Schizosaccharomyces pombe: one gene and its partners. Changing the gene in region 4 together with the main gene of any one other region gives a genetic interaction. Each region holds a gene or a part of one and is shown on either strand. Other genes may lie near its edges. The genes, in order: sgo1, rec11, hhp1 and rec8.

Evidence for each region.
Region 1: of rec8 (region 4) and sgo1, extra expression of one is lethal in a mutant of the other (dosage lethality), as found in Schizosaccharomyces pombe (2 studies listed by BioGRID, with this or other methods).
Region 2: of rec8 (region 4) and rec11, changing one enhances a phenotype caused by changing the other (phenotypic enhancement), as found in Schizosaccharomyces pombe (one study listed by BioGRID).
Region 3: of rec8 (region 4) and hhp1, extra expression of one impairs growth in a mutant of the other (dosage growth defect), as found in Schizosaccharomyces pombe (one study listed by BioGRID).

Annotation. Positions count from the first base shown.
Region 1 is NC_003423.3:966,312-971,005, reverse strand, and holds sgo1 (shugoshin Sgo1), read left to right. Parts: upstream 1-2,238; coding exon 2,239-2,339; exon of another isoform or gene 2,340-2,401; coding exon 2,402-3,260; 3' UTR 3,261-3,270; downstream 3,271-4,694. Other genes in the region: serine/threonine protein kinase (CK1 family) Cki2, read left to right, coding at 1-49; SPOM_SPBP35G2.04C (uncharacterized protein), read left to right, coding at 972-1,042, 1,135-1,555, 1,741-1,998; poteasome interacting protein Txc1, read right to left, coding at 3,672-4,295.
Region 2 is NC_003421.2:1,222,276-1,229,683, reverse strand, and holds rec11 (meiotic cohesin complex STAG protein Rec11), read left to right. Parts: upstream 1-2,715; 5' UTR 2,716-2,758; coding exon 2,759-3,023; exon of another isoform or gene 3,024-3,089; coding exon 3,090-3,202; intron 3,203-3,217; exon of another isoform or gene 3,218-3,287; coding exon 3,288-3,386; exon of another isoform or gene 3,387-3,435; coding exon 3,436-3,785; intron 3,786-3,829; coding exon 3,830-3,974; exon of another isoform or gene 3,975-4,031; coding exon 4,032-4,814; exon of another isoform or gene 4,815-4,851; coding exon 4,852-5,267; intron 5,268-5,310; coding exon 5,311-5,596; intron 5,597-5,683; coding exon 5,684-5,998; 3' UTR 5,999-6,376; downstream 6,377-7,408. Other genes in the region: G1/S-specific B-type cyclin Cig1, read right to left, coding at 892-2,139; rei1 (ribosome biogenesis protein), read left to right, coding at 6,677-7,408.
Region 3 is NC_003423.3:1,852,812-1,858,903, reverse strand, and holds hhp1 (serine/threonine protein kinase (CK1 family) Hhp1), read left to right. Parts: upstream 1-1,993; 5' UTR 1,994-2,095; coding exon 2,096-2,986; intron 2,987-3,108; coding exon 3,109-3,315; 3' UTR 3,316-4,231; downstream 4,232-6,092. Other genes in the region: mug176 (BRCT domain protein), read left to right, coding at 1-1,141; lvs1 (beige protein 1), read left to right, coding at 4,641-6,092. UniProt on the Schizosaccharomyces pombe protein: Involved in DNA repair. Has a probable role in repairing alkylated DNA and may regulate the activity of protein(s) involved in double strand break repair caused by gamma rays.
Region 4 is NC_003423.3:2,565,727-2,571,493, forward strand, and holds rec8 (meiotic cohesin complex kleisin subunit Rec8), read left to right. Parts: upstream 1-3,211; coding exon 3,212-3,267; intron 3,268-3,276; exon of another isoform or gene 3,277-3,310; coding exon 3,311-3,498; exon of another isoform or gene 3,499-3,550; coding exon 3,551-3,647; exon of another isoform or gene 3,648-3,699; coding exon 3,700-4,949; exon of another isoform or gene 4,950-4,989; coding exon 4,990-5,084; 3' UTR 5,085-5,267; downstream 5,268-5,767. Other genes in the region: oxidative stress transcription coactivator/ribosome recycling protein Oxs1, read left to right, coding at 708-1,241, 1,350-1,439; atp7 (F0-ATPase subunit D), read left to right, coding at 1,975-2,502; origin recognition complex subunit Orc1, read left to right, coding at 5,436-5,767. UniProt on the Schizosaccharomyces pombe protein: Involved primarily in the early steps of meiotic recombination. Required to ensure reductional chromosome segregation.

The DNA of each region.
Region 1 (4,694 bases), 1.6 Mb from region 4:
AGCAAAAGGAGGATTTTTTGATATGATATGCTGTCGTTGCTTTTCTTAGTTTCGAAGCTTCAACTATTGTTAGAGTCACTCACTTTCTTAACTTAAATAAGTGTTGTTCTACTATGCGGTAGATATGCTTTCACAATATCAATCATTTGATGATTTGGTTTTCAGAGTACGGGATAAATGGTTCATCTTTTTTTAATATTAATTTGAGAAACGCTGTATAGCGTCTTTGAGCGGGTGCTTAAATCAAATTCTTTAATTATTTCGATTGCAAATTTGCTGGCACTAGCCTACTTTGCTGGTTCTCGTTTAATCTTTTAATGTTGCTTTCCTTTAACATAACTCAATATTGTCTTAAAACTGACATTGTACTATTGTAGTAAATAATATATACATACACATATATAACCAAACCATATGTATTCTAGGTACTAACAATTGGTAAAATGACAACGGAAGCTAATTCGTTTTCAATTACAAATAAATAGAATAAAAGAAAGGAATTCTTTTTATACTGATTCGTGTAATATATTTTTTAGCTGGACATTCAAAAAATAAACTATACGTGTCTTAAAGTATTTGAACTGGACAAATGCCATATGATTTATTGGAAACTAGGTAATTTCTTTTGAGTAATGGTAAATCCCTTTTTAGTAAAGGAAACAATCAGCAACAAATAAAGAAAAAATTTTGACTTATTGGGTTATAATTACTGCAGCGTATACCTAATATGCTGTATACGACCTCTTCAAAAACTAACGCTAAAATCTGTCAAACCATAGTATGTAATTTTTATTTTTTTTTCTCTATGGCGTAGATATAATTTCGTATCAAGACTGTAGACTTGAAGTTTTAACCCAAGTTTTATCAGGTGTTAAATAGATCTCCCTTTTCTAACTTCTTAGTGCGTGCACATGCATGTGCATGTGTGTTAAACGATTTGAGTCTAAAATTGACAAGAGCGGCTTCGAAATATGATATCTAATAGCTCCATTGAGGATAGAATTAATAAAAATGAAGCATATATAGCCAAGTTTTTTGAAATGTGTGTGTAATTATAAGAATTTCTGTGTTTGTCGCCTGAAGTTTTAAAATTTAAAGTGAATGATTTATGAGTTTACTTACTAACTTTATTAGATTTTCTAAAAATGATAAAATTCGCTTCCATGGAGTCTCACTTGACCGAAAAGCACTTGACTCGTTTATGGTTAGAAACAATTTTAAAAAAAGGTTCGTATCTGGTATTAACCTACCCATTTTAATACGATTACATTTTTATAAGAAACTCTTTACCATTTTATGGCTAACAGTTAGAACGGTCGCTTTGTTATCTCATGCTAGAAACATACAATGTCTAATTCAGGAATCCGATGGCGATGCTAAAGACGTTGCTCGTTCCATTTATATTACTACGGCTGAGTTTCGGAATTATTTGTTGACTGAAAAAGGGTTTTACGTTACGACCAGGAGCATTTCACATTTTCGAGCAATATTAGACAGCATAAGATACCCTTTTGGAAAAGACCATGCTAGCAAGAACATGGAGCTTTTACCTATAGTAAGTTTTACATAAATTTTAAGCGGACTACTATGTAAGGGATCTTATCCAAAAGACGTATCTGCAATTTTTAGGGTTGATAATGTTATACCTTTGCATGTAGTTAAATTCAACGTTCGTTGATATAATATGCCAATGTTTAACACGTTTTCTTAATGATGCATACTAACCGACTACTTACTTAGACTTACGATCTCAGTTTTTGTACTGTTTTTCATGGTTATCTCACCAGTATACTGGAAGCTTATGAATTCTTTAGAGGTGTTTTCAAAAAGTATAAAGCTCCCTTGTCCTCTAACTTTATAGCAATAGGAAAGACCACGGACGAATCTAATTTCTCACAATTGCATCATTATTTCCAAAAGTTTGATGAAAGAATTCGTCGAATATTACATTTAATCTCTCAGGAGTTGGATGGATATTGTCGGATAGCGAAGCAGTAATTAATTTTATGTTCTTTTTATCAATTTTTATTCAGGATATGGGCTGCATTAAGTCGTACAACCATCTTTCATCTAATTTATTATATACTAATTTACATTGATTTGGCAAGTTCCTTAAAGAAAAGAGCCTTTCTCAATATGACAAGACTTTAGTTTGCGATTGTTTACCTTACACTTAACAGGTTTGTTTACATCAGCAAGTCCTTAATTGCTTTTCGCAAAAAAAGCTTTAAAAAAGCTATGAACTTTCAATTTATAAATTCAAATATAAACAATGAAGATAAATTGCCGATGGAGTCGTTGAAAAAGAAATTTTTAAAACAAAATCGTGAAATTATAAAGTAAGGTCAAAGTACACCATTTTTGAATCCCTTGTGGTAAATAATAAACATCTAACTTTCAGAATAAATACTCAGCTTTCTATAAAAATTAGAGAATCTGAAAACGAAATTCAAGATTTGATACAAGAAAATTTCACTTTGAAAAGTTATTTGGTTAAACTTGAAGCTCGATTTCGCAATCAATCTCAAACTGAGGACTTGTTAAAAAACTTCTTTCCTGAGATACAAACCATTCACAAAAAGATTTCACAAGTGCAAAGTTTACTGAAGATTATAGAGAAAAAGTGTTCATCAGATTTCCTCGAAGCGAATGTAAAAAGTCAATTTACAACCTGTGAAAATAAAGATTCGAAAGAAGATTATCAGATTTTGCATAATAAACGCTTGGAGTATGTATCATTTAATGATGAACTTAAAAGTCTCGAAACAGGGCAACCATTGTATTGTTTTCAAGATTTCCAAAAAAAAGTCCATGGTCCTCCGGCTCTATCTGAAAAACCTGGAAAATGTATATTAAAAGATAAAACCAATGCCCACGTAAACAAAATACCACAAGATGAGGTGAATTACTCATTGCCGCAAAAAAATATCACCATCTTTTCAAAGGAATTAAAAGAAAACGAATTTGAATCCATCAACGAGGGCGAAACTGAAGAAGAAAAGGCTAAAACATCAAATGTTTGTGTTTGTATTCCTTGTAAAAGTGCTGAACAGATAACTGACCTTAAAGGACAAGCAACCGGAGACAGCTCCCCATGTGATTTTGAAGAATCTCAACCAAGGATTAATGGACGTGAAAAACTAAGACGATCAGTCAAAGTGATAAACTATGCAATACCCAGTTTGCGAACTAAACTACGACGAGACTTTGACTTACCATCTGATAGAAAACGCAAACGACATCCCAGAGGCAAAGCATAAATTATATTGAGGTCACATTGTTAAATATTTTCACATTTATAGCACAGCTAATTTATAATTTAATCTACTGCAAGCAACATTTAAATTCAAGAGAAAAACAAAAAATAATAGAGGAAGAAAAAAAGAACCTAATCAAGGCTCATTTCTTTTACATAAACACATAATTAATCGGCCAATAAATACAAACCAACATTTAAACATAAGCTAAAAAAGTATGGAGACTTAGCCATTTAAGAAAAAGAAAAGAAAAAGGGCGTTAGATATTCTTTAAATAACCGTCATTAAAAAAAATCCAAATCAAAGCGTATTCGTATCGTTTCATATATATTTTTTATTTTGCTTTGGGTAAAACAAAAATCTCAAATAAGAGAGGAAAAAACCAAAAGGAAGGAATCTAAACTTCCCGGGAGCTTAATAGTAAGAACGGAAAACCTCCTCTTGGTTAACTTTGGGATGATCTGAAGGTCTAGGAGTAGCTTCGTAAATGGTTACAACAGGATCACCCTTGAAGGGAACAAAAGAACCACGAAGACCAATGTAGGCGATTTGTGTAGGATCATCAGAACCGTCGCTTTTGGTGAAGAAGATATTGAGATTTTGAAGGTTTTGATAGAGACGAGTCTTAACAGGAAACTCGAAGATATGGCTTCCTTCAAAAGTCAAGGGAAATTCAAATGTTTCAGTGGCTTGGACATCACCGATTGTGTCAAAATCCAAGTCGGTACGATTGGGAAAAAGTGAAAAGGAGTGTGGAGCGGTTTCATTAGGAAAAATGCGAACCAAAATTGATTTTAGTGTTGCCGCACCTGCAAACGGTACCTGAAACAAGAGTTGGTCATCAGCATCACTTTCTACGATATCAGTGTCATCATAACGAAGGTCCCAAGGTTTGAAGACGAGTTTTCCGGAATCTGGTACAGCTTCATTCAGCGTAACAATTGATTCCTTTCGGATGCAAGAATACAAGGTATCATTTGGACCAGACTCAAACGGATGTTCATCACAGTCAGCGGAACAATGGTGAGGGCCAGACATTTAGTACAAACTTCTAAGGAAATCGTTAAAAATGCAAGACTAGGCGAGTTGATAGGTGAATAAATAAACGGTAAACTCGCTAACAAAAAGTAAAAGGGAAAGTTATTTGCGAGCACACTAAGACGTAAGACCGACACTCGGAAGCAAATACTCAAACAAAACAACTAATAGGAAGAAAACCAAAAGCGGAAAAATATGGCGAAAAAGCCTCCCGAGACCAGAAGTACGTTATGCGTTAAAATATTTTTCTTAGAAGCTTTACTAGTCTTCAGCAAAAGAAAAACAAAAATGGAATCAAAATCAGAATTCAAAACTGAAAAGAAAGAATATAAAAGTAGTTTTTTAACGATGAATTATTTTATTGCTTTTTAAAAAATTTTGATTTTGAGACAATAACCG
Region 2 (7,408 bases), on a different chromosome or scaffold from region 4:
AGTTTTGTTGTGGATTAAACGATGATAGAACACGTCTTAGATTGCTGAAATTATAACTTGTTGGTGTCCAATGAGTTTAGAGTTGCTAAAAAATGAATAAATGAGATAAATTACTACGTATGAATACTTAATTAAAAAACATCGAGTGGGTTTTCTCAGTTCTTAAATAGACTTGAAGTATGTAATAGGCATCTTTACTACTAAGGATGAACCACAAATGGCTGATTTTTACAAAACAATAGATGTCTGAAAGCATACTAACATACACCAGATTGAAAATACTAGACCTGTGCAAACATCGTTATACAAGGTGTGATGGACTGTCAATGATCTCCCAATAATATTTGTGAAACCAATGCAGGACGTGAAACAAATATGAAGAGAAAAGGTAAAAATAGTTATGTTATTTATAAAGTTTAAGCCTAACTACATAAAGATCAGTAGCAACAATTAGTCCAATTAACCCGTCGATCATGCCCAAAGGTCGGATGAGACGATTGTGTAAAGGTAGGACAAAATTAAATTAAAAAGGTATTAATCCAAAAAAATAAAAATGGTTTAAGGGGTATCAAAAAATAATTACAATAGAGATACCCGTAACGTTATTTAAGTATAGTAAAAGATATAGAAAACAAGATGGAAGAGGGAATTCGGAAAGATAGTTATAAAATAGACAGTAGTTCCAAGTCTCTGGGGGATAATAGGGGTGGTTTAAACGACAAACTTAGCAAACGGAGTGGAGAAAAACTACTACCTTAGGTAAGATATAAAATGCCCTCGAGTGATTGCTGTAGGAAATATTAAGACAATGATCCGTAATAATAAATATCGTAGGCTTAATAATAGCAAACTAACTCAGAATATCATTGTTAACAACTTCTGAAAGCAAACTCAAATCACACTTAGTACCCAGTTGTGAGCAAAGGCGCTAACTCGCTTCATTCTATTCTCCGAGTACTTTCGGTAAATGGCATTGTGATGGTTAGGGGCATCGACCAAACATTCCATAATGATTATGGCACACGGTTTCAATTGACGAGCCGTGTACCCACTATAATATACATGGCAAGGAGTCCAATCCAAATGACCCAACATCTGCATAGACAAGTAGTAGGCAGTAGCAGCAATGAAGCTAATATGGGCACCTATAAAAATTTCATCCATCAAGGTTACTTCTTGAAGATATTTGGCGAGCATGCGAATGTCGTGATCGTAAGAATCAGCTCGACTTATACGACGCAAAAACGACATGGGCCCTGGCCAACTAATGTCAAAATCCAAAAGCATCAGCATATAGCGCTCGGCTCTAATGATTTCGTCAACGGTGAAGATCCCTTGGACAACATGCGCAAAGTTGTAGATGCTTGGAGGGTGTATCTCTTCATACTTACAGGCAATCAGCAAAGCTGATAAACCTACCAACTGGACTTTTTGCAAAGATACGACTTTTATGGAAAGAAACCGGTCGATAAGGTTTACCGCCAAAAATAATGTCTCAGGAAGTAAACGAAAATGTATTTGAACTTGCACAATCCAATCAACAAGCATATGTCTTGTAACCCAGTCAATCTCTTGCTGAACTGACATGTAATTAGGAGGTGGAGCCAGCTTCCTTTCCAAAGATTGCATGTAGTGAAATATCTCAGGATCATAGTCTGGTACCATGGATGGATCAGTTTCTATATCCTCAGGCGATGGGTTAGCTTGTAATCGAGCAGCAGCTTCAGACAGGGCGGCTAAATCTTCCTTGGTCCACTCGGGAATTGTTGGTAGTCTATGCTTCCCGTGTGTAAGAATTCCTTCAGGTGCGTCAAAGCTGCCCTCACGGTTTTCCAAATCATCATCTCCAATAGACTTAGGAGTGGAGCGAATTGACCGTTCCTCTATCTCGACTTTGTCCTGGTATGCAAAATCCTCTTCAAAAGTGTCGCCAGTGGACGAAGAGATGGAGGATTCATTATTCCCTTCAATCAATGTTGGTTCATCTTGTTGATTGATGTTATCTACTGCCTTGAAAGGTGCACGAACACCCGTATTTAACTTGATGTGACTTTTCTTCTTCACATAAATGTGATCCTTTTGTAGCTGATTCTCATCTTGAAAATATGTTGCGTGTCTTGTTTGAGTCGAAACGTCCATTAGTAAACCAGCACACACTTGTTTAGAAAGTTTTGGACATGCGATGAAAGTCGGTTTTCAAACTGCCTTTTACTCAGGTAGGAACCCTAGTCTTCTCTTTGGAAAAGATCCTTAAAAATTTAGATGCTTTTCGACTTCTAAAAATTCGAAAAAATGACTCTACACCCAAATATATGAAGATACTATTGAACGAAGGATTCGAGGAAAGTAATCTTTTGGATTGACCAGAAAGATTAGTACTACAACAGTACAAGAACTAAAAATCTCAAATGAAACCAACGAACAAGAGTATTAACCAAAAGTTGGAGTAGGACTTTGCAAAGGAATACCGAGCTACTACTAATGAGAAAAAGGAGTTGGTGGGTTCTCAAAAGGGGTCAGGGAAAAGCCCGAAATTCCGAGTAAAAACGCGTTCTTATTCATAAATTAGTTACTTTATGTTTCAAAAGTAAAACTTTAATAAATTATTATATACTTGATTGCAATGGTTGTATGTGAACTGCAAAATAATTAATGACTGACTGACGCGACTCGTGTCACGTAAACAAACCCATCGTTTCTGTTAGATTAATCTTTGCCATAACCAACCACCATCGTACCAATTAATTGAGTGATTTCAATGAGATTCGAATTTGAATCAGATGCAAGCAGTCATCTCAATGAAGTCCTTACTGAATTAGAAAGCGTGGAGCTTGAAAATGTTGAATATGAAGGTCCAAGTTTACAGAATGTCAGCATTTGTGCCTCGCCCTCAGAAAAAAAGCGGAAATGGGGAACACAAGATGAATTTTCTTTGACGGAGAATGAAGAAAATAATGAAATAGAGACGAATGAAGAGATGCACGTAAATTCTCATGATTATGCCTTTCCACAAGAATTTTTTCGTAAGTTTGCTTGCTTATAAGAGAAAAAAAGTCTTCGATAATATATTCTAACAAGCATACGAAAAGTCAAACTGTTGGATATAGATATGCCGCTCGAGCAACTTTCTCAACATTATTTTGAAGACTATAAAAGTAATAGCGCTGACTTCATGCTGACCTTTATAAATTTCGCATTAGTTGTAAGTTTAGCAGGAATGATCCGCGACGTTTTCTAGCTTTTGCTGTTTTGTTTACTCTTCCTTTGAAACGTAAACTAATTCATAGGCCTCTGGTTGTCAACCCTTCGTTACGAACTTTGATGTACAGGACGTAGATTCAATTCCTGAAACATTGTCTCAGGTCAATCGTTCAAGTTTTCAAAAGGTGTGTGCATCATCTTTTTGTAATATTTACTTACCATACATATCGCTAGTCTTCTTGCGCTTATACTGATTATCTTTATACTTCTAACTCTAAAGAAGCTAAAACGGTGCGTATTCGTTTTCAGCTTTTTTTGGTCGAATTCATCAGTAAAGTTTACGTGGAAGACGCATTCCTCGGAGACTCATTCATGGAAACTACAAAAGCTTGGATTTTTACCATGACGACAAGTCCTTGGATGCTTGTTAGACATACTGCAACAACTATTTGCTGTGATATCATGCGATGCTTATGCCTTATAGTAAACAAACTTTCCGAAAAATCAAATCAAACTGCGGAAATTCTGGTACTGAGAGACTTAACATCTAGGTTCATTGACATGATTCACGACATTTGTGATAGGTTGGCAATACTACTTTTCTTAACGACTCTAACCTTTTTACTAGTGTACTATTCTCAAGGATTCATGATATACGTGCAAGCATTCGTATAGTGTGTGTTACTGCTCTATATGATTGTTGCCAATTGCTTCCCACCTATCTTATAAACAGAAATTTGATTAGACATTCTGGCTGGGGGTTATCTGATGCAGTAAGTGTATAAACAATCGCTACTGCTGTATCATTTAAATACTAACTGAACGTATAGGAATCACAAATCCGAAAAATCTCCTTAAAAATAATAGATTATCTTTCTTCTCATGAACCTGAAAAAGATCAAGATTTTGTGGTTGATTTTCTTGACAGATTCTCGTTAAGAATTGTGGAGATATGTCGGTACGATATTGATTCTGTTCGATCTGTTGCCCTCAAGACATGCGAGAAACTGATGGAGAAAATATCGTTGAATGGAAAATGTATCAATATTGTTTCTAGCTGCATATTTGACGGGAAGCCCCAGAATCGAATCTCGACAATGCGAATCCTCGTTGCCCATACTAATGAACGCTACGCAAATTATTGTGAAGCAAAGACTGCAACAATCAGCTTATCAAAGCTCTTAAGGCGTGAAAAAATCCCATTGTTAGTTTCCAGCTTTGAAAGCCTATTCAAAATGAATGCGTTATTATTCATACTTGAGCAAGGATTTGAATCTTGGTTCCGTGATAGCAGCGATCACATCTTTTCGCGTGTGAAAGACGATGACAAATTTGTATATCAGTCGCAGGAGAATAACTTTTATGATGCGGATTTCATACGAGAATATGATATGAATAATCATAGGCAGCAATTAATTGAGGAAAGCATGCATTCCATTCATACAAACTCACAATTACTTGCCAGTTGGGAGGATGTTGCAAAGCTCTTGCTTTATGATCGCTTTGATGCAAAAGATACTAACAGTGTCTTAAACCCCTGTATACCGAGCAACGCAGTGATAGAATTTTCTTCTATCTATCTCCATTATTTTGCAACACATATTAGCAAAAGAGTAAGTTATTTAAAGCTTCATATTACTAAACCTCTAGTCGAAGAAGCCAGGTAAAAGACTTGAAGATGAGGTCGTAAACCAACAGCAAGCAATGTTACGAAACCTTCCATTACTATTACAGAAATACAGAGAATCTTGTGTTTCATCATACTTTTTTATAAAATGCGTAGAGCAAATTCCTGACGAGCTTCTTTATAAGAGAGAATTTCATAAGGACTTTTCAAAGTTGTATAAAGAAATACTGGATATATTTAATTCAACTACCGTTAACTTCCTGATGATTTTGTGCAGCAGATTCTTCCACCGATTGGCGGTCAACAAAGTTGTACAGGAAGATATATTATTTGCCATTGACAATGTATATAATGATTTAGCAGAAAGTTTACACGAGCAACTCAATGCATACATTCAAAGAAAAAAAATAAACAAAAAAAATCAGTTGAATGGCAATGAGTAAGGATTTTTCTTTTTGTTATTAGATTGCTAACTTTACAAGTGAAACGCAAAACTTGGTTTTAGCTTTAAATAAGTTTGGATGCTTTGCAAAGGAAATGGTCTGTCTGCGAGACGTCAATGATTGGAACATTAAACTGTCAGAAAAATTATGCGAAATTTGTAGTCTTGAAGTCGGTCCTATCGTCTGTTATTCTTCTTTGAAAGTTTTATTTCTTCTTCTGCTTTCTGATATGAGAGATAGAAACTGTATTTTTACAAATATATTTTTAAAAGCAGCTAAGGTTGCGAAGCAAAAAAATGGAAACTCCTTTTTAAGCAAAGTTTTCGTAAGTCTCTAATGTTGCTGTCTATCTATCTTTTATGACTGTTGATTTCAATCACATTTAGTGGAGTAAAATGCTAACTATAAGCAGATTACAATTACGATGCTTACATTGTTTCTTGGATCAAAGGCAAATAATTGGGATATAAATTTTAGTGACGATGACTTGAAATTGATGAATGAAGAAGAAATCATGGAACAAATTGAAACTTTTAAAGCATGGTCAATGAAATTTAAAGAGAAATCATCTGGAAACCCTTCTTACTTTTTTTCACCCGAAGATACTGAGGAGAAGGAATTATGGAATAATCTGTTTGAGGATTGGTATCCCAATCGTGCTAGAGATCCTGGAACACTGAGTCATTTAGTGAAAGGTTTAAAAGAAACAGCTGACCATTTATCATAAAACGAAATTTTAACACTAATTAAACCCCGAGGGAAAAGAGATAAGAAAGCACATGTGCTAACTTTCTTATTGAGGCAAGGAAACTTATTAAACAAAAGGAAAAGACATTAAACTCTATTATGTATTTCCTATATGATTATTCCAACGAAACTAACTCAAAAATACCTCAATTTCAAATACTCAATTTTAATTAAACCCTGAAGAGTGGGAGCTCGTGTGCTCGCTAAAACTACAATGCATGCCATTTCTTTCTTTCCAGCCCTTTGTCTATATATGAGTTTTCTTAGGACTTACTGGTTAATCAAAAGGTACGCCTTATGTTACTAAGCAATAGAAAATGTTTTTGAGGGATGCATAAATTAAGTTTAAAAAAACAAGACATTAAGATGTTTAACATATCAATTAATTTTATTTGATTTCAATAAAATTGATAATTATTTGACACTTTAAAATAATTTGGTGGTGCTACAAGTTATGTAGGCAATAGTTGATCGTAGGCAAGTTGGATTCAACCAACACCTTTTTGTGCAAGGTATTGTAAAAAAGGGTTGACTTCATCTCATTAAGTTAGTTTGAGTCAAAGAATATATTTGAGGAAAGACTCGGCTTCAATATCAATTTTTTTTTCGATAAAAAAGTGTACTGGCTAAGAATTGAATTACTTGACAGAATACCGAAATGTCGACTTCTTTTGCTTGCACGACTTGTACTGTGGCTTTCAATAATGCAGAATCACAGAAAATACATTGGAAGTCTGACTGGCATCATTATAATCTGAAGAGAAAGGTTGCTAGCTTGCCGCCGTTGAGTGCTGAGGTGTTTGCTGGAAAGATTTTGTCCATTCAAAAGCAGAACGAGGAAGTCCAGAAAAAAGCAGAATTTTATCAAAACTGTGAAGTATGTAATAAAAAGTTTTATTCAGAAGGCGCCTATTCATCACATATGGCTTCGAAGAAGCATCGCGATAACTTGAGCAAATTTCAAAGAAACAGCCGTATTAAGAAACTTCAAAGTGAAGATGCAAGTAGTATTGCTTCTTCAACCTTGTCAATGGGTGAACCTGTAGTTGATAGCGAAATTGAGGAAGAAGAAGATTTAGCTTCACAACTGACATCAAGGGCGATATCCCTTTCCAACTTATCTCTTCATGGTCGAGAAAGTGAACCCTCTAAAACTGAATTGGCTACTTCCATACCTCAATCGAACGAAGCTTCCAAGTCTCATCTATTTACACAAGAACCAACTCCTGAAGAAATTGAAGCTGAACTTGCTCGTCGAAGTAGTCAACGTCTTTCACCAAGAGATTGCCTGTTTTGCGCAGCCTCTTTTTCTTCATTTGATACATGCAAGAAGCATATGAAGGCTTCTCATAGCTTGTACATTCCTGAGCGGGAATATTTGGTAGATGAA
Region 3 (6,092 bases), 710 kb from region 4:
ACATTCAATTCCTTCCGATGAATTAAATTCAAATAGTAGCAAATCGCTCAACAATGATCGTATCAGCCGGACAATAGAAAATTCTCTACAAAAAGAAACAAATAGCGATAACAAAATTAAGAAATTATCCAAAACAAAAAGTAATCCCACTAATCCCAAAAGTGAAGAAGACCCCAGTCAAATATGCCAATCCTTTGACGAAAGTAATATAATTACACCATCTAAATACCTCTTTCCTCTATCAAAAGACTACTCCCCGAACGAGGGATTGTTTCAAACCGACATGAATGAGAAAAATCCTCATGATTTATGGAACCCAACGGTTCCCATGGCTTACCTTTCTCGATCTTTACAAGGCCTTACCATTTCAAAAATTAATGAAACAGAACAAAAATTCCCTTTGAGCTCTGTCCATGCTTACGTTGAAATCGGAGAAGGTATGTTTTCAATGGAAATCGTTACTGAACAATTGCGTCTATTGGGCGCAACTGTTCATGCGTCTTTACAAATGACCGAGGAAAATCCCGTTTCTCACGCAGTACTCTACGACTGCTCACAAGAAACTCTCAAGAAAATTAGTTCTGCTCAAGTCCCAATCGTTTGTGTATCTCCTAAATGGGTTTTGGCTTGTTACTCATCTAAGTATTTAGTCGACGAGGAAATGTACTTAGTTGATCCTCAAGATATACTGCAAACTAAATGTTTACAGACTGATGACTCGGAGTTGCTGAATCCTCTTGATCCTTTCACTGACACGCAAATGATTCAGGACCCTTCTGATGCCTTCTTTTTCGATACTCAAGCAGAAAATTTAGAACCATTCGTTAATGGGTCTCCTGATTCTCATTGTTTTAATGCCGACTCATTCTTGGATCAAACTTTGTCCGATGATTATGAGTTTGGTCTCATTACTTGCAGTGATTCTAATGAGTCATCTATGTCCAATGACGCTCAACGAGAAAATAATCCAGAAACCATTTCTCAAATATCGCTATCTCCAACGGCTGATCTATTTTCGTCTTTCAAAATTACGACGGATTTAGAGATGACTCATTTAGAGTCTGCCAAAAAGAAGTATCTAGCTTACAAACCGTTAATTGGCTCTCCACTAAAAAAGAAGGTTAGTCTTATAGATTTCTAAGTGCCTTGTCTTTCTATTTCATTACTCTCTTTCATTTACAAGTTTAATTCCGCACTGCTCATTGTACATATTGTTAGATCAGTGTTTTGCGTGTTTTTCCCCTTTCTTTTATCCTGCCCATTGTCAGTTTATTTTATTTTATTTTATTCTATTCGCTCAGTCGTCACAATCCTGACCCAAATTATTTATAATCTCAATGGAGAATTAGTCAACTCTTATTTAGAACAGAAAAATGCCTTGCATTTTTCGCTTTTCTTATGTAAAGAACTACAATATTAAATTTCCGAAAAAGGTTTTCTTATTGTTTTAAAATGTTCTTTCATTTTATTTTTTCGCACTCCAATATTCGGTTGGAGGTCTTTTTCGCTTCAACTGGAAAGACAGTGTATCTTACAGCTTTTATTTTCGTCTGAGAACCCGAATTTTCTCTATCTTTTTAGATCATTCGTTTACTGGGGCTCAAATATTATTAGATTTTGTATATAGATTACAAGGAAGAGTCTGTTATAAAGGACACATTTTATTAGCCTTTTATTCTTAGTGTTAATAAACCATACCTTACATTTTACATTTTTCAGTAAATGGTAATTGATAAAATAGAAACCAAGAAAAGCATCACGCTCCCATTCTAAAAATAGATATTGGATGTACGAATGTATGTAGGTATGTTTTATTTACATTCATCGTAAACTATCAATATTCGCAAATTCACTATCTATTATAATTTAATCGCATAGCGAATTTTTTTTGTATTATAATTTATTATCGTTATTTTGATAAAGCAATGCTAACTCTCGTTATGTTTACTTTAAGTTCTTTACTTCTACGTTACCTAACTTGCTCTACTTTTTCGAACCCCTACTTTTACCTCAACCACATCATTCAATTTCAATCTATAGTATATTGGAGAGAAAAAGCGAGTGCCTTTAGCCTTAAAAGCGTTATAATATTATTATGGCTTTGGACCTCCGGATTGGGAACAAGTATCGCATTGGTCGTAAAATTGGCAGTGGATCTTTCGGAGACATTTATCTTGGGACTAATGTCGTTTCTGGTGAAGAGGTCGCTATCAAGCTAGAATCAACTCGTGCTAAACACCCTCAATTGGAGTATGAATACAGAGTTTATCGCATTTTGTCAGGAGGGGTCGGAATCCCGTTTGTTCGTTGGTTCGGTGTAGAATGTGATTACAACGCTATGGTGATGGATTTATTGGGTCCTTCGTTGGAAGACTTGTTTAATTTTTGCAATCGAAAGTTTTCTTTGAAAACAGTTCTTCTCCTTGCGGACCAGCTCATTTCTCGAATTGAATTCATTCATTCAAAATCTTTTCTTCATCGTGATATTAAGCCTGATAACTTTTTAATGGGAATAGGTAAAAGAGGAAATCAAGTTAACATAATTGATTTCGGATTGGCTAAGAAGTATCGTGATCACAAAACTCACCTGCACATTCCTTATCGCGAGAACAAGAATCTTACAGGTACTGCACGCTATGCTAGCATCAATACTCATTTAGGTATTGAACAATCCCGCCGTGATGACCTCGAATCTTTAGGTTATGTGCTCGTCTACTTTTGTCGTGGTAGCCTGCCTTGGCAGGGATTGAAGGCTACCACGAAAAAGCAAAAGTATGAAAAGATTATGGAGAAGAAGATCTCTACGCCTACAGAGGTCTTATGTCGGGGATTCCCTCAGGAGTTCTCAATTTATCTCAATTACACGAGATCTTTACGTTTCGATGACAAACCTGATTACGCCTACCTTCGCAAGCTTTTCCGAGATCTTTTTTGTCGGCAATCTTATGAGTTTGACTATATGTTTGATTGGACCTTGAAGAGAAAGGTATGAGATATCTTGGTAATAGTGCTTTTTTTATTTTCTGGGTTTCCGAGTTATTGAAAACCAATGTAATATGATATTTTATGAAGTTTACATAGTCACATTTACTAACATTTAAATTGTAGACTCAACAAGACCAACAACATCAGCAGCAATTACAGCAACAACTGTCTGCAACTCCTCAAGCTATTAATCCGCCGCCAGAGAGGTCTTCATTTAGAAATTATCAAAAACAAAACTTTGATGAAAAAGGCGGAGACATTAATACAACCGTTCCTGTTATAAATGATCCATCTGCAACCGGAGCTCAATATATCAACAGACCTAATTGATTAGCCTTTCATATTATTATTATATAGCATGGGCACATTATTTTTATATTTTCTTCTCATCTGGAGTCTTCCAATACTTGCCTTTTATCCTCCAGACGTCCTTTAATTTTGTTGATAGCGCAGGGCTTTTTCCTTGGGATGGCGAAAGTTACTTTGCTTATAGTTTATTGAGGGTTCATAGCTTATTTGGCTGAAGATCTTGTGTTGACTTAAATTCTATGCTAACCTCATGATCATATCCTCATTATGGCAAGTTTTGGTGAAAAATTTTTTAATATTAGTACATTTGCTAATAATACATTTGGTATTTGTTTTTACTACCTGTGAATCTATTCATACATTATCATATATGTTTCGAGCCAGGAACAGAAAAAAGTGAGAGAATTTTCTGCAGAAATGATCATAATTTTATCTTCGCTTAACACGAATCCTGGTGACAGATTATGCGTGGTTTAAAGCCTTTTTTTTACGACGCCATAAGCAAATTGGTTACTTTTTTATGTGTGATGAGCCTTGGGGTTTAATCTAATTAGAAGGCATTGCATTCATATACTTTTAATAATATATTATCAGCTATTTGCTGCTTTTCTTTATAGATACCGTCTTTTCCAAGCTGAACTCATTTAATCAGCGTCGTTTAACCTTAGGATGCTTAAGATGCGTTTAAATTCAATGACTTAATGCTCGAGGGATGAATGGTTTGTTTTAGTTCGTGTTCTGGGTGCATGATCTCGTGCTTGACTGTTTTATTGAAGCGTTCATTTCATGAAGTGTCTTTCGATGTTGTTCACACTTCTGTTTGCTAAATATAATAAATATTTTGCTTTTCATTTTAGTTTGTAAACATACTTGAAAAAACTAGAAAGGTGTTGTTTGTAAGTTTTTGAATTATCAATAAGATGAATTTAGAATGATGACACCTACTTCAAAATCAACAAGCATAAATGAAATAGAAATAAATTGTCTTTACTTACTATCTATTTGGTGTAGTTCTCTTCTACAGCAAGTTTTCATAGTTCACTTCGTTTGGCAAGAAATCATTATCACCGCTATACTTCACCGCCAACCACTACGAACTATTATTGCCAGTTTCAATAACGATAAATTTAAGCAAGCATCAATTTTCATTAATTTCATCGATTATATATATTAATCGTTTTCTTTTTTAAAACCATTTCTCTCTGCTTCAACTCACATGACCTATTCATAATATACACTCACTTGACCAGAGTTTATCGAAATAAATACGAAACTTGTGCACCAGGGGCTAGGAACGAATATTTTTGTTAGGTTCTTTCTTCTATCTTTTATTCAAGTAAGCTGCTATGGACAGAAAGGCGAATGCCTATTCTAAAAGCGTTGAGTTGTTATCGAGGCTTGAGGGTTGTCCCTCAGAAAAAGTTCTGTTAGAAGAGTTACGAAAATTGAGGGGGTTCATTCGAAATGATATTCCCAGTAATTTTTTTCCACAACTCTTTATTACTGACAATGGCTTTGCAGCCATTAAGAAGGCTGTCACTAAGCTAAACTTTCAATCGTTACTAAGTCTTGATATTTTTGAATGCTGCTTGCAAATATTAGGAATTGCAACTTCTTATACTATCTTGCGTTCTTGGTTACTATCCAGAAAACATATTGAGGCATGGATTGAGCTCGCTATTCGAAGAATGTTTTATTCATTCTGTGCTATACAGGATGATTCCAATATTTCCATTTATGCAATAGGTACTTCTTCCAAGACAGATTCTTCTATTCAAGCTGCTTCTCCTAATGAAGATTTAAAGTCAGAAGGGGCGCAAGAGATTGATTCCCAATCGGAGACAGTTTCAATATCTTCTGACGTTGATTATGATGAAGATCGTAAGGATTTAAAGAAGGCCAAGATATGTAGTGCATATTACCTAAAAACTAGGCTACTTCTGGCTGTTTTGTCTTTTGCCCAAAACGATAGTACTTTTTCGCTTTTGAAGCTTGTACCTTCTTTGCAAGATAATACCAATGCATCTCTTGTTGAGTTATCTCGCGTAGTGGAAGCTGCAATACAGAAGCTTTCCATCAAACCGCTAGCTTTCCCTAATGTTTTACCCCAAGTCCTTCTTCTCTGTCCTTCTATCTCCATTTTCAATCTTATCCTACTTCACCTTCGTGCACTTATTCGTTCTTCTCCTGAAAACGCTATTAAAATTGGTTATTCCAAAACTATGCATTTCCTTTTAACATACCTTTTCGAGCCTCCCACTTCTTTTCCATTGTCGGATGTTTCGAAAGATTTGCTCAATGAGATCACATTACATTGTGCCACTTTTGGAGTGTCGAATGCTTCTACTGCAAAGGTTTTACGTACATATTTGAAAACCAAGTCTGAATTCCTTCGAACATGGTTATTAAAAGCTCTTTCCCACCTTGTTGCACCATCTTTTTATTTTAATCCTTCGACAAAAGGTTACTCTTCTATTGATTTTACGCTGAGCTCTCCTGTAATGCCAATTAATGGATATTCTGTTTCCCTTTGGTTAAACATTGAGTCTCTAATGAACGATGATGGCAATTATGCCCCAACTACCCTTTTTCTCATCTCTGATTTTTTGAAATCAACCCTTTTTCGCTTACTACTTGATGCATCCAAAAAGACTGTAGTTGTTCATATTGGCTCAAGTAAAGATACCTGTGTAGTTAACTTTTCAACTCCTATTACCAATTTTTTTTCCAAAATTTACAAAGATAATCCTAGTCTAAATCCACCTTCGTGGCATTTGATTACCTTAGTCCATCGTAAC
Region 4 (5,767 bases):
ATAATTTAGAATTATAGATTCATTAATTCCTTTAACAATTAAGATGATCGGAATGTTAGTTTGTACGTTATTTGTATCGAAGATGAAGTTTAATACTTATATAGATTACAATAAACTAATCAATACTTGAAAGCAATTGTTCACTGTACGATATTGTTGAATAATTTGGCAAGAATAAGCATTTAATTTGATGATATATTTTACTTTTTCAAACTTCATGAAATACACATCGAAGTCCATAACAATTGTCATGATATAATATTGTAATTGAAGAGTATGATCAATTTACATCGGTTGACTTTGTTTCTCTTTTTAATGAGTTATCACTGTTAAGAATGCCATCATGTCATAAAAAGGATTTATGGTGTATTATGCAGTGTCTATACCATTCAATATACCCTTAGCCTGCATCAAGGCATTTAAGGAAATAAATAGTAGCAGATTTCCAATTAAGAACTTTTATTTTCTATTTTAGTGATAAAAATTCAGTTACATACCAACGTTTGACGCCGTTTGTTCAGTGTTATCAATACACCTTTGTAAATACACTGATAAAAATAGGGAGATATAACGAGACATTCACTTATAAAAATTATCAGATCAGATTATTAATCCATCCTTCGTCGCCTTTCTTATAACGAGGCGGCATATAGAAATCACCTGTTGTTCAAGTCATTCAAATCTCACATACCATTAATAGCCTTGATATGGGGAATCCAAAAAAGAGAGCAGAAAAGGCCGAAGCGGCAAAATCTAGAAAACAAGACGAGGAAAAGAAAAAAAAAGACGCTGAAGAAGACGAAAAATGGTCCAAGGGCGTCAAAACTAATAAAAAGGAGCAAGAAGCTGAAAAACGAAAAGCTGCGTTGGAGAGGAAAGCTGAACGTGAACGTTTAGAAAAAGAAGAAATGGAGAGTCTTCCATCTAAAGGAGGAAAGGGGTCAAAGAAGGCTGCAAAGAAGAATTCATCTTTAGACGCTTTCCTCAACGAAACCCCTCAGACAGCTTCATATAGTGCCCGCAATATTGATGATGCTTTGGATTTGTTAAGTTTAAACAATTCATCGTCCAAAGATAAAATTGATCGTCATCCTGAACGTCGGTTTAAAGCAGCTTTGACAGAATACAAACAATCTCGTTTGCCTGAACTACGCAAAGAACAACCGGGCCTCCGTTTAAACCAATATGAAGACATAATGTATAAAGAATTTCAGAAACATCCGGACAATCCTTTCAATAAGGTAAGAAGCGATAAGGGTACATGCATACTCTTTTTGATGATGACCATATCATGTATAAACCCTAAACAGGAAAACCATTGTAAATATCATTTTTACTAACAATTTCAGATGAATGTGAGCTATAACACTAGTCAAGATGAGGTTGAACAGCTTCGTAAAGCTCGTAAAGCAGAATTGGAAGCACGTTTACGCGAGTAACTATAGTTATGGCAATATGTTTAGAACTTTTCTTTTTCCTTTTTACTATGGTAATTCTTTTATATTATTTATAAATTATCAATAAACCAATTACTAAATAATTTTTCTCGACATTCAAAAATGAAATCTTAAATTAAACATGAGAAGTACAAAGTGATTTGGTGATACACCGGTAAATCAAAATTTACAGCTAACTTTGAATTTCTATTAGCACAAGAATGAGTGGAGCGTATACTAATTGTAGGGCACAAGTTCTATTCTAACCGCTTAATTTTTTTTTTTGTAGTAATTTTGTACTTGTTGCTTTCATTTACCCAATTATATGATATTTTTTGAACCATTAAGGAAGCCTACTGCTGAAAGCCAAACCACCTGGCAATATGGCTCTGGCAATGCTAAATCATCCGTTCCCCAACTACCCCCATCTCTTCAACACATAACCAAAAGCAGGAAATATTTATAAGACAGTTAAATTGTTTAACAATATAACTGTTATTTTATTGAATTTTGAATTTTTTCTTCTTTATTTACGCAAATGTCGAAAGTTGCTAGCGCTGCTGGAAAGGCGATTGATTGGGCTAGTGTAGCTAGCAAGCTGAAGCTTGATGCCGCAACTGCTTCTGCTATTGCTAATTTTCGCTCTCGTCATGCTCAGGCAGTTGCCAAATTGGGTACATTGCGAGAGCAGGCTACCACAGTCGACTTTGCTACCTATCGTAGTGTTTTAGCCAACAAGGAGATTGTAAATCGTATTGAGTCTTCTATGAAATCTTTTAAACCTGTGAAGATTGATTTAAATTCGCAACTCAAAGCGATCAATGCATTTGAAGCAAAAGCTAGCGAGGGTGCTAAGAAGAATGTCGAACTTGTCAAAGCTGAATTACAGAATTTGAGTGCTACATTGAAGAACATTGAACAAGCTAGGCCTACTGAAGAAATTACCATTGAGGATATGAAACAAGCAGTTCCCGAAATTGAGAAGATTGTTGAAACAATGGTTACCAAGGGCAAATGGGTCATCCCAGGCTACCGTGAAAAGTTTGGTGATTTGAGTATTATGTAGTTTGCTCCATTAATGAAACATTTTATAACTAGCAATCATATGTGTTATCAATACAAATAAATGTCAGTTGAAAGATAGATAAAATTTCGGTATTTATGAATGGTTTCAAGCAGTATGTTGAAATGTTTAACCATTATTATTAAAATTCTTTTATTGAGTTTCAAACTTCTTAGTACAACTTGAATGACTTTATTTAACCTATTATACAAACATCGTTCACAGCATAATAGTGCGTTAAAAATTTCCACGATCTTTTAATAAGCTATGTCAACTTACGTTAAGTTTTGTTATATTCGTATAATCTCTATTCGATCTAGTGGCACAATAATGAAATTGCTTGTACAATATTAACTATGGATACCTTGGTAGGAGAGCTCAAGATTGAAAGGGCACTAAAATCACATATCTTAGCTCAATTATTAATCATTAGCTTCCATTACATTGTGTTTTGACTCAATCAAAGTAATGATATTTAAATATTCAATCCTTACTTAGATTTTAATAAGACAATATATATTAGCAATGGAGACTTCACTGCAGTATACGTTGGATAACATGTGCCGAGCTGTTAAGTATTCGTTAATAACGATTTTATGTGAGATTAGCTCATATGGTTTAACAATGCGGTATTTCTATGCTTGAACTTCAAATATAATTTTGACGCGTTTAATAAGCTATCTGGTGAACTAACGCGTTCCTGTCTTTCACCATGTTTTACAATCAAGATGTTCTTACAAAGGAAAAGGGAGGAATGGGAGTAATTTGGTATAGATTTACTACAAGATAATAATAAAGCTAATAATTATAGGCTCGCTGCTACATTGGGTTCAAAACATTCATTACGCAAGCTTCACAAGAAAGACATTATGTCGGTAGATATCGATGAAGCTTGCGATTTTGTTGCCTTTTCTCCAGAACCGTTGGCACTACGATTAAGTAGTAATTTAATGATTGGTGTAACGCGTGTATGGGCCCATCAATACTCATTTTTCCATTGTATGTGATGACAGTAGTTTAGGCTGGCAATTTTCTTACTAATTATGCTTAGCCCAAGTTTCAACTCTTCATTTACGTGTTCGAAAAGAATTGGACCATTTCACTTCAAAACCGTTTAAGAATATCGATATTCAGAATGAACAAACGAAGTACGAGTACTATTGGATAATATGACAGATATTCAAATTGCTAACCTTTTAGCCCAAAGCAGTTACTACTCGCAGAAGATCCTGCATTTATCCCTGAAGTTAGTCTCTACGATGCATTTAATCTACCTTCTGTGGATCTACATGTTGACATGAGTTCTTTCACTCAACCCAAGGAAAATCCCAATATTTCAGTTCTTGAAACTCTTCCAGATTCTACTTCTTATTTGATCAATACCAGCCAAAATTATAGTTTACGAAACAATGTTTCGAGCTTTGTTTACGAGGACTCCAGAGCTTTCTCTACAGAAGAGCCCCTTGACTTTGAGTTTGATGAAAACGGGGATATCCAGGAATTGACCAAGGGCACTATAAATTCGGATCCGTCGCTACAAGCTGCTTCACAACATAGCAATCTTGGTTCCGTTCAAAGAGAATACAATAGTGAAGAACAAGAATCAAGGATTCACATGTTCGAAATCGATGAGGACGTTTTACCGTTACCCGTTCCATTGCAATCTGTTATGGATTCAGAGCATAATGAAAATGAACCGCGAGCTTTAAAAAGAAGAAAGGTCCAAAAACTGCTGGAGCCAGATGAAAACATAGAACTGTCTACTCGAACTTTGTCCCAATGGAGAAAGAATTATGTTGAACGAATGATTGCTTTGGAAGCAACAAAGTATGTTCGTCGTAGAGGAGCTTCTTCGGCAAAGAAGAAAGAATTGAACAAATTCTTTGATTGGGAATCTTTCCATCCTCTTTTAAAACCATGGATTGAAAAGCTCAAACCATCAAACAATACTCCCTCTGAAATTGACGATGTATTGAGGAACATTGATACTTCTGAAGTTGAAGTTGGACGGGATGTTCAGGGTGAATTAGGTTTAAACATACCTTGGAATACTTCATCTCGATCAAACAGTGCCATAAATTCTAAAAGCCATTCTCAAACTGGTAGTGAGCATTCCACCCCCTTGCTTGACACTAAATATAGGAAGCGCTTGCCGCATAGCCCATCGATGCCGAGTAGGGTAGAATTTCTTCCTGCCTTAGAATCAAGTCAATTTCATGAAACTCTGAACTCAGAACTTTCATTACAACTCTCTGATGACTTCGTACTATACAAAAATACTCAAGAAGAAAATGCACATTTAATGTTGAGCATGGAAAAAGAATGCGCAAACTTTTATGAGTATGCAAAAACGGCTATCTATGAAAATAATGGGCGCATAACATTTTCAAGCTTATTACCCAATGATTTAAAACGACCTGTAGTGGCCCAGGCATTTAGCCATTTACTGTGTAAGTATCACAATCAAACCACGAACTAACAAAACAATAGCACTAGCAACTAAGTCTGCATTTTTAGTTAAACAGGATAAACCATACTCTGAAATTAGTGTCTCTTTAAACCTAAAAAGCACCGATGCCATTTGAAACTTTTCACATGTTAAACTTAAAATTTTTAAAACGTTGAATTTGGGAATTAAACCCTTTGTTGAAGTTGTCAAAATAATTGACTATGTAATAACATTTAAATAGTATAGTATAACACTTTTCTTAGATTAATGAATGATAATGCTAGCGGATAAATAATTAAAATTAATTAACTACTTACCAAATTTATCTAATTATTATATCTTAAAATTGTGGTATATTATTTGTTGGCTGTTGTACATAGCATGACAGTAGCCTCTATAGTATACGAGTCTTGTTAGTCCAGCACTACAACTCAGGATAACTTTGACCATTGCAATGTTGATAAACTAGTGTTGAACTTCTCTTAATATGCCTAGAAGAAAGTCATTGAGGAGTCAACTATTAATTAACGGCATTGATAAAAGTCTGCTATCTGATGACAGCGCTGACAGTTCTGATATTGACGAAGAGGAAGTTTACGGTGTTTGGACTGAAGAGCCCTTTCAAAAAGAGGCTGGACGTTCTTATTACAGATCTTTAAAGAAAAACGATGTAATATATCGCGTTGGAGATGATATTACTGTACATGATGGAGACTCAAGCTTTTATCTGGGGGTAATTTGTAAATTGTACGAAAAAGCAATTGATAAGCATTCTGGAAAGAAATATGTTGAAGCAATTTGGTATAGTCGAGCTTATGC